Linked DNA regions of Lytechinus pictus. The protein of the gene in region 2 interacts with the protein of the main gene of each other region in a biochemical or structural test. Links are inferred from orthologs where the notes say so. Each region holds a gene or a part of one and is shown on either strand. Other genes may lie near its edges.

Region 1 (7,745 bases), on a different chromosome or scaffold from region 2:
GGGAAATGTGACTGGGCCATTGGTCATGTAGGCCTAAGTAGTATCCAACAAACCACTTCGATATACTTTAAGAGGCTGTTCTCACTACGTTCCTAAAACTAGTTTACTGGAAACTAGTTTAGTGGAAACTAGTTTAACGCGTAGTGAGAACGGTCAAAGCGGTCTTGGAAGCGATCTTCCAAACCAGTTTGGAAAACCACCTCGCGATGTAGTTTTTAAGATCGCTTTGCCTCGTTTAACTGGTTTTAGCGTAAGTGAGGACACAACCGTTCTTCGGGAAGCGATCTTCGCACATTTTGAGCACGCTACTCCACACGACAGGTGTAGAATGCCTATGCTGCGGTTTCGAATTTCGCGCGAAACGTGTCACCCCACTGAGAGCGTTACCATAGCAACAAGAGCGCTTTTTAAAAGTGAAGTGATATTGAAAACCACTTTCGTGTGATCAAGTGGGAACGCTAGCAAAGCGATCTTCCAAAGTGGTTTCCTGAATCGGTTTCCAGTAAACTAGTTTAGAAAGCGTAATGAGAACGGCCTCTAATTCTTGGGGAGGCATACATCAGCCTCCATGATGTCATGAGCTGGTTCGATCTCGTTGGTATATTGATCAAAACTGTGTTTTATAGTGTTAAAGACCCCAATGCACTTGAGCTACTTCGTTTTATAGGAAAGATAACTTTTAAAATGTATAACAGAAGCTTTGGAGTGAATGCCCTAGCTGTTGCGACTTCAATGGGGTCAATTAATTACACCGTCTCGCACGTTTTGTGAACAATGGAAGGTGTGAAGATTGCAGTGAACACCTAACAATAAGAAGAATCTGTTTCAATTTAAGTTACGCAATGATCACTTGTGATCTCTCGTTGTGTTTCTTCAACCCGGATGAATCCCCCAAACCACATTGTCCAATCACGGACCTACTACAATAGTCAGCGTTTGTTAAAACGGAATGATAATCGAGGATGATAGTGTATTTGTGATGTAATTAAATAATGATAGTGGTGATAATGAAGGGGGATAAAGAGGAAGAAGAGGACGAGAATGATGGTGGTGGTAATGATTTTGATGGCGGCCGTGATGATGATGACGATAACATAATTATTTTTTTTCTTGATAAACATATTATGTGTGTAAATGTATAAAGAAGGAGGAAATTTTCTTTTTAAGAATTATGATATAAAAAGGACAAATAATTTTTTCCAGACCCGGTTCTGGAAATAAGACTAGACTTATATTATAATTTCTGAAACAACTGGGTCTGGAAAAAAGACTTTGGACTATTATACTTTTTGAAACAACCGGGTCTGGAAAAAGACTTTTGTGCACTTTTGTGCTTTATCAACGTATTACTATAGATTTTAGTTTAGAACGGATCAAATCCCTTCAAATTTATTACATTTTTGGGTAAAGTCATTATTACATTTGTGGGCGATCAAAAATTATAACATTTGTGGGTAAAGTGCATTAATACATTTGTGGGTTAAATTATTACATTTGTGGGTAAAGTGTTATTACATTTTTGGGCGTTGTTACATTTGTGGGTAAAGTGTTATTACATTTGTGAGCGATTTTCACATTTATGGGTGTAACAGGCCCCCCCCCCCCCATATGTGCATTTCTACCAATCGCCTATATTGTTGTTGTTATTATTTGATGAATAATTTTCATAGAAACAACTGGCTCAGAAAACTATTAAACACAGCCTTTCGTGAAAAGCTCCCCTGGTTGTCCCGAGAAGGTGTGTTTATTTGACTCCCTTCCCTCATCCCACCCTTTCAAGAAAAGCTATCCTGGTTTTCTCGAAAGGGTGCGGCCATTCCCACTTCGCAAACGCAAACGATCGTAACAAGTGGCAAGATAAAGAAAATAATACAGTACAGTATAATTTAATACATTTAGCACATTGCAGCATCTTTCCAAAAGAAAAAATGATGAAAATAAATCATATTTATGAAGTATCAATTTTCTAAACATAACAAAATACGGTGAAAATGAATTAATTATAGATTTTTGTTAATTCTCTTATGACAGCAGAAAACATGTGTTTGGTATACGAACCACAAGTGACAAAAGATTTCACACGCGAAGAGGGGCGAAATCGGAAGCTGAGAATTTTTTTTTCAGATATAGGCCGATCGATTTCAGCCATTTTAAAATTCTTATTTTTAGTAGGTATTTGTGATTACTTTATGGTGGAATTTTGATGAATTTTAAGAAAAGGTTTGATATGATTGAAAAAACTGAAGATTGTTCGGTATTATCCACTACCATTCATTACGGTAGTATGAATGTTATTCCAAGTTGTCTCAAGTACATGCACTCACCAGCTTGTGTGGTACAACATTATTTGCTGATTTTTACTTGTTAAGTCCTATTTATTACTAGTTTTATTACTTTTTTGTGCCTTTCGTCATTTATTAGCAGTTTTGAAGGCTTTTTTACCGATGGGGGTATTCACCCTTATATTAGTCATTTTGTAGCCGTTTTCCACAAGGGAGATATTCGCCCTTTATTAGCCGTTTTCCACAAGGAAGGTATTCGCCATTTATTAGCCGTTTTGTAGCCGTTTCCCGCAATGGAGGTATTCGCCCTTTATTAGCCGTTTTGTAGCCGTTTTCTCGAAGGGAGGTATTCACTATTTTATTCTGATAAAAATCATTGTTGCATACAGTTAGCTTTCCATAGTCGGTACACTTTTTTTGTCGCCGTTTTTTAGCCGTTTTCTAGCCGTTTTTCTGTTGGGAAAAAGGGAGAAAAAAGGGAGAAAAAACGGCGAAAAAACGGCGAATCACCCAAACCAGTCTGGCTCACTGTGTCAGTTACAATATGCTGTCCAAATGAAAACAACACACTGACACGAATGAGTGGGACCACTCACCACTTTCTACAAATCAATAAAACATCCACAAATTAAAGCAGAAAATACACGTAAAATTTAAAAATTAAGATGCAAACAATAGTCTACAAGTTTTCTGCCAATATATATACACATTGAATAATACATAAAAGATATGATATATTGTAGAAAAAGCATATAAACTACCTTTTTCCTCGCAGCTGCGAGCTTTTCTTCTCGAGAAATATCCGCCATATCTGCAGTGCTGAAGGGTTGAGTGTGTAAATTAATGAAAAAAGGTCATTGGACAGTAAAGATGTGCGTAGCATGACCGATTCATTCGCACACAATAACTATTTTTTCATCACTTTAGGCGGCCTTTCGCAGACACGTATGCAAGATCCAACGCATCAAAAAAAAAAAAAAAAAAAAATCTGCACTGATCTGAATTGTGATGATCCAAACATGACTGCGAATCATGGATTTCGGGATGGATTTAACCAATTTTTCGAGTTCAACTGAGTAATTTGTATACTTCGCATTATCATGACACCTAATAATGTGTGTTCATTCTCTTCATTGATTTGTAGAAAAATAAAAATAAAAGGCTAAAGAGAGAATTGGAAAAGATAAGGAAAAGTGATAAATTTCTGCATGACGCACGGAGGAGGGCATGGCCCTGGGAAGCGGGGGTGCTGCGACTTGTGATCTAGACTAAAAAGAGCACCCCCCCCCAAAAAAAAATCTGGGGGTGCTGTCGTATGCATCACCCCCTGAAAATCATGTTGGTATGCTAAAAATAGAAATTTCACAAAATCCGACCTGCATTTTGGAGTGAAACTCCTTTTCTCTCTTTTACGTTCTTCTTCTTAAAGTTCTTCTTTTTTTGCAAACCAGCACGCCTGGCCAGCACACCCTTTAAAAATTGCGCCCGCCCCCTCAGTGGTTAACAAGATCGCACCCAGTCTCACCTTATGCGATTCAATATGGCAGCAATCATTACAGTGAATATATATTTGTTTCTTTAAAAAAAATGTTTACCACGTACTGGCGTATAAATCCGGTCCGAGCATGGGGGGGGGGGGGGGCATGAAAGCAATATCTTATTGACCAGAAAATTAAAAATTTGGGGGACACCCCCACACCTATATAGGGCTAAGTAACTGTGTACATATTCCTTTAATCTTTCAATTAAAGGCCTTTCCGGATTTTTTTTTCAATGGCTATATAATTGTAATGAATTGTGTTACTACTGATCGAACTACATGTCCAGTTCAGCAAATGCGAGCGAGCGGGCAAATTTTCAGTAGTTGAAAGACATGATGACGGCAAAATCGTCTTTCATGAGGAGTGATTATTGGATAATGCGGCAAGTGAGCATAGCGACTGAGCAAATTTTCAATAGGTGGAAGAAAGAATGATGCCCCAACTGGGTTCACGGTACAGGGGTATATAGTATATAACTGGATAATTAATGGATAATACAATTTTTTCACTTGAAGGACTATTATCACGATGTCTTTTTTTTCGATGGCTATAATGTATTCGTTGTGACGAAACTACTGGATTACAGTTAGTATCCAAATACGAGCGAGAGAAGCGAGCGAGCAGATTTTCCATAGTTGGAAGACAGAATGATAACCAAATCGTCTTTCAATGAGTGTAATTATGAGAGAAATTGCGGCGGTGAGCGTACTTTGCGAGCCTTAAAAAGTTGCTACAGTCGATTAAAATGATGATGATAAGAGTATCATCAATAACGTAAACTTTAGAAGAATGTGAACAAGAAATATAAAAAGAGCAAATAGGGACTAAATAGTCGAGTTTTGTTCTATGAAAACTCATTTGCTCACTGGTTAAAGTGAGATGAGAATGAAAACAAAAATATGATCATGATTAGCCGGATAGCTTAGCCGGGTAATATAGGAGCGCCTTGAGCACCTAACAAGGTGGATATGTGCATGCGCAATATAAATACCCTATATTATTATTATTATATTATTATTATCGGGAATGAGGGTGCCATATAAAATGATCATAGGCCATCACAAGCCACAATATAATCTTAAAAAAGTGGTAATATCACAATGACATTGTATATGAAAAAAGGAAAGATTTTGAATAATCTTTAAGATTATATGGAGATGATGCAACATTCGATATTTTGAGCAAAGATTAGTGTTTCGTTAACGGCATTGATGTACGGTGACTCATCGTACACTTAACTTGAAGAATACGGTAGGCCAAATACAACACCCCCGCTTCCACAAAGATACCAGATGACCCACCCCCCCCCCCCCACAGGGGCCGCGGAACGGTTTTCAAAGTGGGGGGGGGGGCTGAGCTAAAAGTGGGGGCTGACCATGCAAAAAATCACAATCATAAAAATTGTAATTTTTACGTTTTTGTACACGATTTTGGAAGAAAGTGGGGGGCTGAAGCCCCCCCCCCCCCGCTTCCGCGGCCCCTGCCCCATATTCACGAGAGTGTATATTTAAAATATATTTTGAATCGTTATGATAAGTTATAATCATATTCAAAGGTAATTGGAATCACATATTCATTAATGGACTTAATATTACAACTAAACTCCCATGATTCATGCGACCGCGCGAGAAATTTTGCAATTTTTTTAAGTAGGCCAATCTAAGCACTTTAAAGATGAATCCACACGTTAACAGAAGTATTAACCATTTGATGATTAAAAAAAATATTTTTTCCATCTTGAAAAGTGGGGGATGATTGTACATGCCACCCCCCCCCCCCTCCGAAAAGTGGGGGATGTATCCCCATCCCCCTGGGATTTACGCCCTTGCTGTTTACTAAATATAGTTAAATCCTAATTTCATTAATATCAAATGATCTTTGATTAAAAACTTATTGTATTATCCGATAATCATCTCATACAATATGACAAAACATTTTTTTTCAATTAATCGGAACAAATCATGAATCATTATCAAATTTAAATTGCATATCTGAAATGACCTTTGACTTTCTCCTATAGTAACCTGGAATTACACTAATAATAATTTCTTATACATGTTGCATTACATTGTCAAGGAGTTTGTAGCTGTTGGTAAAATGAGGCCTATTGTGACAATAACATGAATAATCCGTTTATGCAGTTCTGGGTGTATAATTTAGGCCTAGGCCTATACATCGACCATTAAAACATGACCGATTATTAGGCCCTATAATCATGATAATTTGATTCGCATGTTTCTTCCATATCTATATCATTTTGTACTAAACAAGCTTAGCCTATCTAATGTCATTGACAAGTTTATATTGAGAGGTATACTTTGTAACTTTCATCGCTAGCGCGTATTTATAGTCGTCGTGTACACAGTAAAAACGCTGTTAAAGATTTTATACAACGTTGTTTACTATATGAACCTTACAGTATTTGTTTAACCGTTTAAACAATCATGTTTAATTTATTGAAAATTAGATATTGAAAATTAAACTTTGTTGCTTAAGATTTAAACACTTGTTTATACTGTTTAAACAATTGCTGCAAGGTTCATATAGTAAACAACGTTGTATGATTTTTTTTACCGTGTATAGGCCTATATACTGTAAAAAAACGCTGTTTAAAATTTCAAGCATGTTGTTTAAGCCCGTCACTCTAACAACTATTGTTTAAACTTTATAAACAACTGTACTCAATTCCTCTTCCAGGCTAGTGGGTTATTTGAAATATCTATATACTTATACCTCCACAATATCGTTCAGGAATAGGTTCCTTTATGATGTGGTATCTGTTCTAATATTCTGTACTCAGTTCCACCTTCTCAAAATGTGCACATCCCCATGCCCGACCTCCCTTGAGTATAAAGCCCTACAACCTAATTTGCAGACTTGGCGGGAAAGCAAAACCAGGTCCAAGACCCCCGCAAGACCTGCTGTAGTATGAATCAAATACTTATGAGCTCTGGGAATAAGGGCCAGAAATACGTATAATATAGGGAAAAACTAAGTTCACATCCGTGACTCATTATAGATCCAGGGGCGTAATGGTAGCCCCCCCCCAAAAAAAAAAAAAAAAAAAAAAAAAATCTTGCAAAATGTTTAGAGGAGAATTGCATCCTAATTTTAAGAGGTTTCTTCTCTATTTGCCGAATTTATATGTTGTACTATACCTGAAAACATAAAGATAATTCAATCGCTAATGGATATCTGCCTAGCTGGAATAAATAATACATAAATTGAAATATAAGGAAAGTTAATTAATGAGCAGATGAAATAAAAAAAAATCTTTGGATCATCCATTGAAGCTTGATTTGAATTCGTTTCAAAAGCTTGCGAATTATACCGTGGTTTATGGATCATCGAACGAAAATACATGCAGGCAAGGGCGTGGCGGCGGTGATGATGATGATTATGATGTAATGACGTTGATGATGCGGAGTGGTCAGAATTATATTTCGTGTCGATCATAAAAAAAGTCATGCACATGCTGTAATTGGTCATTTGGGATCATGTGACCATCTGTGCTAATTATGCGCGATCAAAATGAAAAGAATGGCTTCCCATCAGCCAATGATTTGCTTTCGTTATTATCCTCTTTTGTATGGGATTTACCTGCGTTGAGCCTGACCACCCTTTCCCCCTTTTTTCATTGATTTTTTTTTCAATTTCTCTACATGTATAAACTTAATCTAGTCTTCATATTGATTCAGTATATACGCAAAATCTTGGTGATCTATGACCAGCTTCTTCGTTCTCAACTGTTTATATGAAATAAAAAAATTCTCGAACACCTTCATCTGGATACAAAGTAAGCTTAGAAGCCCATACCTATATGGCCATCGTGGATACATTAGCGTGGGTAATTCCACTTTTCATGTCAGTTTTGGGCGTGATTTTGAACCTCCTTTCAATGGGTGCCATATTGAGCTTCAAA
Region 2 (8,042 bases):
AATATATCCCTATACATCTTTTAACAAAAGAGAATAAATGTTAGTGTTCAAATGGCTTTTACTTTGAAAATAACAATATTCCTGAAAAAAAATTCTTAATTTGTTTAATGTTTATAACATCACACACACAATAAATGGCCAAAATGGAAATATCAGTCCCTATATTTTTAAAGATTTGAATGTTCGAATAACACATTTTATTTACTCATTGATCGATCGATTCAGACATATTTTGACTAAATGACAAGATCAGTATATATATATATATATACAGTTTTTCATCCCAGTCCTGTTAATAATGATAACACTTACCTAAAAAAACATCAAAATCAAATTAATAACAAAGTTGTAGATAAACTTTAAAGACAGAGCATTTAATGAAATCTTACTTTGTTCCTCCTCCTCTGTGTGTGCTGATAGAAGATTGAAGAGCGTATCCAGAGCATAACCAGTGATCTCAGCATCGGTCCGGTCAGTCTCCAAGACATTCACCAATATATCCATGGCTTGGGTACCGACCTCTAGCCGATATTTCTGTCAATGTAAACAGATGAAAAATAATATCATTTCCCTAAATACATAACTATAAACAAAAATGAGACTGTAACAAACAAGAAAAAGTAATACTTATAAGAAATGGTGGATAGAGCAACATACATGTACAGTACATGGAATTCAGAAAGATTGATTTATATTCTCAACAAACTTCCTTTCATTAACATTGGAAAGTATGTTTGTAAAGAAATGTTTTTAAGTTTCACATAAAAGTTGGCAAAAGTATCAGTATTTTAAATATTTCCATTACTTTCCCCAACTTTAGCTGATTCAAATTGATATCACTTCACAAACTAGTGTACAACATTTTGTTGTTTTTCTATTTGTCTCTCATTTTTTTTTACATTATACCTAATCATAATCAGGCTTTATAACTAAAAGCAAGCATCAATATTATGGCTACAAAAATGCTAAATAGGGCACCGTAACAAAAATCTGTGCCACGTATAACTCTTTAAATGGCAATCCTTCTCAGAATATATTATAAGTGGCTGTCCGATATTTAGAACAAACTTACATTTATTATTTGGAGTAAATTTAAGACCATGGTGTCTTACCTTGGAGAGAGCTTTGAGAGCCCTGACTGCATCTCGTCTGTCATCCAGGAGCGTGGAAGACTGCACTCGATCACATATCTTGGCAATCTAGAATTATACAGGAGATATATTCATGCTATTACTTCTTTAGTTAAAGAAGAAATATAGGGACAGTCACATAGATGAGAAATAATCTTGAATTTTTTAATGAGTACTGTTTGGATAGATATAAAGTGGGATGCCCCTGGAAGTCTTGTCTACATTACACAATTCAACATTGTTCATTTTGTGACATTGTAATATTTAACATTCTAAGTGTTTGCTAAACCCTTTTAATGTAATCAAATTTGCATGTGAAATCATGTAAACACATATGAACTAATTTGAACGAGTATTTTTACGCCACCATCTCGGCCTTTGTAATGGAAAGTAACTAAGCAATACACATTGGCCGATTACTACATGTAAGCCAAACTCTGCAATTCAAGTTAGAGTAAAGTCCCCAAATATCGGACAGTTCCAAATATCCAACTAAAATGACTTCAACTCCATCCCCACAACTAAAGGGACCTGCAATGGTAGGGGACTTGTATGTAATACATTAATATACCTGCTATGAATTGCACACAGTAGATCCAGGTTGAAGCTTAAATAAATATTCCAGGGGTTAAATCCAGGGGTAAAATCCATGATTTTGACTTCCAAAGATTCTTATGACCCTCGCTAATTATGGACTCAGAAAGGTTGTAAGGGGGAAGTGATTTTCACTGGAAATATCGCCGCCGAGATTGCACATGTTCAATCTATCGCAAAAAACCTGCAATGGCCGCCGCAGGGGTTCCCCACAACGAGAATTTTGACACCCTTCCAAATATGGCACTCTCCCAAACATCGGACATATCGACCAATTAAATTGGAAATGCGTGCTGTTGACGCGCGCATGCTCGTTTTCAAAACGCAGCTGAGCGAAGACGTCCGATGTTTAGAGCCGAAAGAGGTCCATCGGGTAAGTAAATAATTATTATTTACCTATTTCTAATAGTGCAGTGACAATTAAAATTGGCATTTGCACAGCTGAAATAAGTTATTCTCTCAACAATCAAGCAATTATTTGGGGGTTTAGAGCGTGATTTAAATCGCTGAAATTGATCGCCGTGCACAACTCTATGTGTCCAACATTTGGAAACTGCATCCGATATTTGGCAAAAAACAAGCTTCTGGTAATAAGTAAATAATTTCCGCTCACCATATTTTTTTCAATTCTATTTTTTATGACATTAATATTCCACATTTGTACTACAGAAATACACATGATTTTTATTTGATGCAATAATTGTATTTTTTTTTGGGGGGTCCAATTATGATTAAGTGTCCGATATTGGGCACTTTACTCTAAGACTTAGTTAACTTCATTTTTTTTCACAAACTTTGACAAAAATCCTAGTTAAGCAGCTGCAGTGCAACAAAGACCAAAGTCAAAGAACAAGATTTTAAGAAACATGGACCTTATGAAGGTAAATCCATCATCATGTATTAAATCAAAACAGAAACAAAAACTATAGTTGGGTCTACATCCAAACTAAAAGTGAACAGTTGAAAATAAGGTGTTAAACAATTAGAGTCTAGGCTACATGTATTTGACATTTTAATATTACAGACAGGAATTGTAACGCATGGGACTGGCTCATAATTTCTAAATATCATTCGTGAATATGTGCATGTTTTACGGCCCAAACAAATGGATATAGAGAGCTGAAATTGATTAACTCATTTCAACATACCGTATCTGCCCCTGACTGTTGATTTTCTGGAGTGTTTCCTCCCAAAACCCGACTGAAAAAGCTCATTTTCCTGGAAAATTCAGTTATTTTGCGAGTCAAGAAAGGATTAAGTGTGGAACACGTAGCACAAAACAAGTGCAAATTGTAAACGTAGATGGCGGTATTGCGCTAAAGACAGAGTTAGTTGAGGTGCCGTGGCCGAGTGGTCTAAGGCTATACATGGAAAGTGGTCTAAGGCTATACATGGAAAGTCCGGGGTTCGATCCCCGGCCACGGTACCTATGCCCATGAGCAAGGCATTTAATCTACAATGCTCTTTTATCCTGCTTTCAAATAAATGGAAATGCTATATGCATTATTGGAAACTAGATGTGCACTTGTTTTTTTTTTTTAATTTACTACTCTGGCTAAAGAAATTGGTCTTCACAGTCTAGTCGAGTCGGGGGATCTCTTTAGACCATAGAAATATATCTCTATGCTTTGAACACAAATGGATTGATTGATTGATTGATTGATCGATCGATCGATTGATTAATTGGTTGATTGGTAATATAATCAAGTATAATCTTTATGATGAGCATTCAGCCGAAGTGACCATAATTAAGACAAACTTAATTCCTTTGCCATATACGCAGTGGGAGTTTACTTAGCTGGGATTATATGATCATTTTTGCTTCTTTCAAAACTCATTTTATTGCAAATTTAAAAAGAAAAACCAAAACTGTGCTCCAGATTTATTTACATAAAAAACATGCAACGATCCCTCCAATTCGGCTTAGTCGTTACGCTCTTGTCCTCCTTTTTGTATAGGCCTAAAGGGTCTGAGTGTTTTAAACATTCCGCCTGCCCTCCTCCCCCCTGGAAAATAATACATTCACACTACCATGGAAACAATATATACATGTATGGGCCCTAAGTTTTCTTAGTTCACAAAGCCAATTACAGGGAAATATATACACTGCCGTTAAAACAGAAGTGTGCCCCCCCCCCCCTTGAAAGTGAAGATCTTTTTTTTTGCTTGTCAAATTTTTTTGTGAACGTAATTAATGTGCTAACTTCCCCTTTCGAAAAATCCTGGATCCGCCCCTGTATATATAAAAAAAATATTTTTTCTTTGTATGTTTTATCAAATTAAATCAACATAATTTACCAAATTGAAAATGAATATCGGGAACAGGGCGGCACTTGAAATTGTCTCAAAATTGCTGCACATCAGAACCCCCTGTTATAAAAAATAGTTTCCAGGGCCCTGCAGTCATCCCCCTCCACACACACACACATTCAAAACCGTTCACCGGCCCCTGTACAACAACTTGAAAGGGACAAATTTGTCTTTAACCGAAAAAAAAATACCGTAAATCATTTCCTTCGTCTACATTCAGAAATAATTGTTTGCAACATTTTTCCCCCTTTCTCACAACTTTCTTATGAAACAAATTAAACAATGAATATAAAATTACGATTTAGAAAATCAAACTTAAAATTCTAGGAAAATATAGCAAAATAGACAGTTCTATTGATCTATTCTAATCTAGTTAGGTTAATATATTTGTTCATCCTTTGCTCGTTTAATAATCCAACAAAACTCGACTCCGAAAATGCCACGCCCACCCTAACAAAAAAGTACCGAACACGAGATCTAGGGTAGCAAAATGATTAGTCTGCATTCACATACGTATTTTGTTGATTGTCAGTGACACTTTTTTATTAATTAATTTCATGCAATCAAGAAGGTTATAAGCAGTTAGAATTTAAGTAAGGAATAAGGTTCATTTATGACCTTGTTAATTATAAACTTGCTTTATTATGAGTGATAATAAACAAGTAAGGATAGTGTATCGTGTATCATGATGATGACTAAATTATTCTTCAAACTAAGACTAAATAGCTTGCAGCAGAAAACGAGAAGTTGAGAACTAAATTTCTGCAAGAAAAATAGCTGAAACGGGTAAGTGTGCCATTTATTTTGTATTTATAGATCATTTTATATTACTGAGATGTCAATATTTGATCCACTCTGTTGGAAAATATGTGAAATTAGTTAGTGTTTTGGTATTTGATTTGCAAGATCCAAATTAAACATATTTTTTGAAAACATGATTTTAATCCAGTCCCACATATAGACTTTCATATGGTAATATAAGAAATGCGGGGATCGAACGTGAAGTAGACCTAACTAACGTTAGGCACGCGCCTTTTAAGGCTGACGAATACAATTATGGCTTTGTCCAGTCATAATTTGCAGCAGAACTATGCCAACTGGCATGTCCCATGACGATAGTATGTAGACTCTAAATGTCATTCAGCCTTGCCGTAAATGCTTATTAATGTCGTGTTAAGCCTATTATAAGGCTAAGCCTGGCAAAAATAAGATATATTCTGACATAAAGCGTGGGAAACATAATGATAGATTTGACAGAATCAGATCTAATGTTATTCGCTATGATGGAAGAAGTTAGATATTGTGAAAACACCATTCACTTGACAGTGGCTCACATAAGTCCTGACATTCATTGGTTTCTTATTTCCACTCCCATTTGTAGTACACAAAAGTGTACATTAAATTACACTTAAAGAAAAAATATGTGGATTCCAAATTATCAAATAAATGACAACATGTACTATATGAAGGCATGCCAACAACATCAAATAATATGCGAGGCTTTTTTTTTTGTGGCACTGATATAATCAAAAGCTTCAAAAATATAATGCTTTTGAAATCCAAAGATATACCATTTACTGTTTGAATATTTTGTATTCAAAGGGTAAACAGAAATAGCCATCTTATTATGGGAAATTGAATTGATACTAATATATTCCCAATGAATATGGAGCCAGACATTAGCTCAGCAGAACAACAAATTATACAGAGACTGCAGTCTTTTGTATACAGTTAAAGGGAACTCCATGCTGATAAAAATAATATGATTTCAACAAATATAGGCCTATAGACAAGCCTATAGATTTATGAAAATAAAATATACTTTCAGCCTGGCCAAGTACCCATTTAATGGTAATGAGCTCTTATTTTTTTCAAACAGGAGGGAAGATGGCTATACTCTCGGAAAGATTCTACCAGGTTGGTAATACCTTTGTTGGCCTACAGTCATTCCCTGTTATGATCATATACCTCATCCTCATCGCTCTTTCACCGCTCTACCAAAGAATGACCAAGCCATACTCTCTCAGACAAGTAAGTTCAGTTTGACTGTCCTATATCAAGTTCATGAATGACCTTGTTTTGTTTTTTCCACCTTCCTGCGTCAAAATAGGCTTAATCATTTTTTTTCCCTTTCAGGAATGGAGGAAAACTTTCAAAATCAGTAAAAAAAATCCTGTAAATCCATGCAGATAAATATCAGATCATCTAGTGTGGCACTTGTCGAACTCGAACTTACATTTATACAAATATTTTAAATGTAATCATCATGATCATGTACTCCATTATTTTTTGTTATTAGAAGTTTGGCTTATAAGATGCCTTCACATACTTCCTAGATATTTTTGTCAATTTTATATATTATGAAATTCTTAACTTACATTGTTTCTTTTATTTATGCAGAAACCCATACATGCAAAGTTAGAAATACGGATGTTTTATTTTTTTTGTTTTATAGATCATGGTAGTGTATAACTATACTTGTAGTTTTATCAGTGGCTGTACTCTGTTGGGATTCATCGTTGGAATGGTCAAGTCCGGATCCATCTTCAGGAAAGAAGGAAATGATGTACTAGAATACAGGTAGCATAATGTTTGAAATGATTCAGCAACAAGATTTTAAAATTGCTCCACACTATACACATGTAAAACCTATTCTTATTATCACCTCATGATCTTCATTACAATGTTCATTTTATTATTTAGCCTATTTCTTGACAAAGAATTGCTCTTTTGTTAACAATGAAAAGTGATTTATTTATATCAATTATTCAATTTCCTGATATCAATGATTTAAATCTTGATATATGAAGAAAAAGGATAAAGTGGTAAAATATGGCTTGCCATATGTAGGTCAGCATATGCTGGCTGAAATGTCCTTGCTGAATGTTTTCATTGAGATGAACTTAATGTGAGCTTTGAAGGTTTGCATAGTGGTAAGACTGGATTGAGAGGTTTACGGTAACACCATTTAAGTTAGTCCTGAAAAAGACTGTTCATTTATCTTTCGGTTATAGCTCTTAAAAGAACTGATATTCTCGACATTTCAAGCACAAGAGCTCTTTGCTCTTCTCAGGAGTCACAAAGATAAACCAGCAGTCTTTTTCAGGACTAACTTTAATACATTGTGTTACCGCAAGCCTCTCCATCCAAGATAAACTTAATAATCTGGTAATGATGATCGTTAGATCAAAGCAAGACTTTATTAGGTCTTTTCTAGGAGGTCCATGGTATTAATGGAGAATATTTGCCTTGTAACTTGCAGTTACTTCATGTACTGGTGCACCAAGAACATTGAGCTCCTTGATACGTTGTTCATGATCCTGCGCCACAAGCGTCGTCAGATCTCTTTCCTTCACGTCTACCACCACGCCAGCATGGTCCTCCTCACAGACTTTGCTTACCACTACTCTCCCTGGGCCGGAATTGCTTTCGGCCTCTCCATCAATTCGTTCGTCCACGTCTGTCTCTACTACTACTACGGCTACACAGCCCAGAAGACACTGCCTGGTGCTCCGACCTGGAAGCGCCACATCACCGAGCTTCAGATCACACAGTTCCTGATAGGTTTGATTCATAATACTATAGGCTACCTCCATCATGGTTTCTGTGTGTATTCTATGTTCTACGGTGTTAGTATGCTCTATTTGTTCTCATCTTTCTATTACAATGCCTTTTTACGTAAACGTAAAGGAGAGTAGAGAGATTAATTTGTACCTAAGATAAATAGTTAAACCAATTCCAAATCAACTCAAAGTTATTGGCCCGAATTTACAAAGGTGATTTTGAAAACCCACGGTTTAGTCCATGGTTAATGCACATTTCCTGTATAAATTATGCTTATTTTACCACGTTTATAAAAAAATGTCCAATGCTGATAAGTGCTTTTGTCACAGTGCGCCAAATTGACGCCTGTTGCCATGGTTAAGTACGCTATTTCATTCATGAGTCCACTGTTTGAAGAGTGGACTCATTAATTAAAAATAGTGGAATCATGAATGAAATAGCATG

The links. The genes of interacting proteins can lie anywhere in the genome.
Region 1: the proteins of general vesicular transport factor p115-like (region 2) and golgin subfamily A member 2-like form a complex in vitro, tested with the Homo sapiens proteins (2 studies listed by BioGRID). The link is inferred for Lytechinus pictus from reciprocal best matches to the Homo sapiens genes USO1 and GOLGA2.

Annotation. Positions count from the first base shown.
Region 1 is NC_087259.1:22,002,546-22,010,290, reverse strand, and holds the start of golgin subfamily A member 2-like, read right to left. Parts: upstream 3,112-7,745; 5' UTR 3,092-3,111; coding exon 3,044-3,091; intron 1-3,043. UniProt on the Homo sapiens protein: Peripheral membrane component of the cis-Golgi stack that acts as a membrane skeleton that maintains the structure of the Golgi apparatus, and as a vesicle thether that facilitates vesicle fusion to the Golgi membrane.
Region 2 is NC_087262.1:22,092,140-22,100,181, forward strand, and holds the start of general vesicular transport factor p115-like, read right to left. Parts: upstream 3,031-8,042; 5' UTR 2,939-3,030; coding exon 2,873-2,938; intron 1,200-2,872; coding exon 1,113-1,199; intron 535-1,112; coding exon 390-534; intron 1-389. Other genes in the region: very long chain fatty acid elongase 5-like, read left to right, coding at 5,922-6,065, 6,490-6,614, 7,297-7,732. UniProt on the Homo sapiens protein: General vesicular transport factor required for intercisternal transport in the Golgi stack; it is required for transcytotic fusion and/or subsequent binding of the vesicles to the target membrane.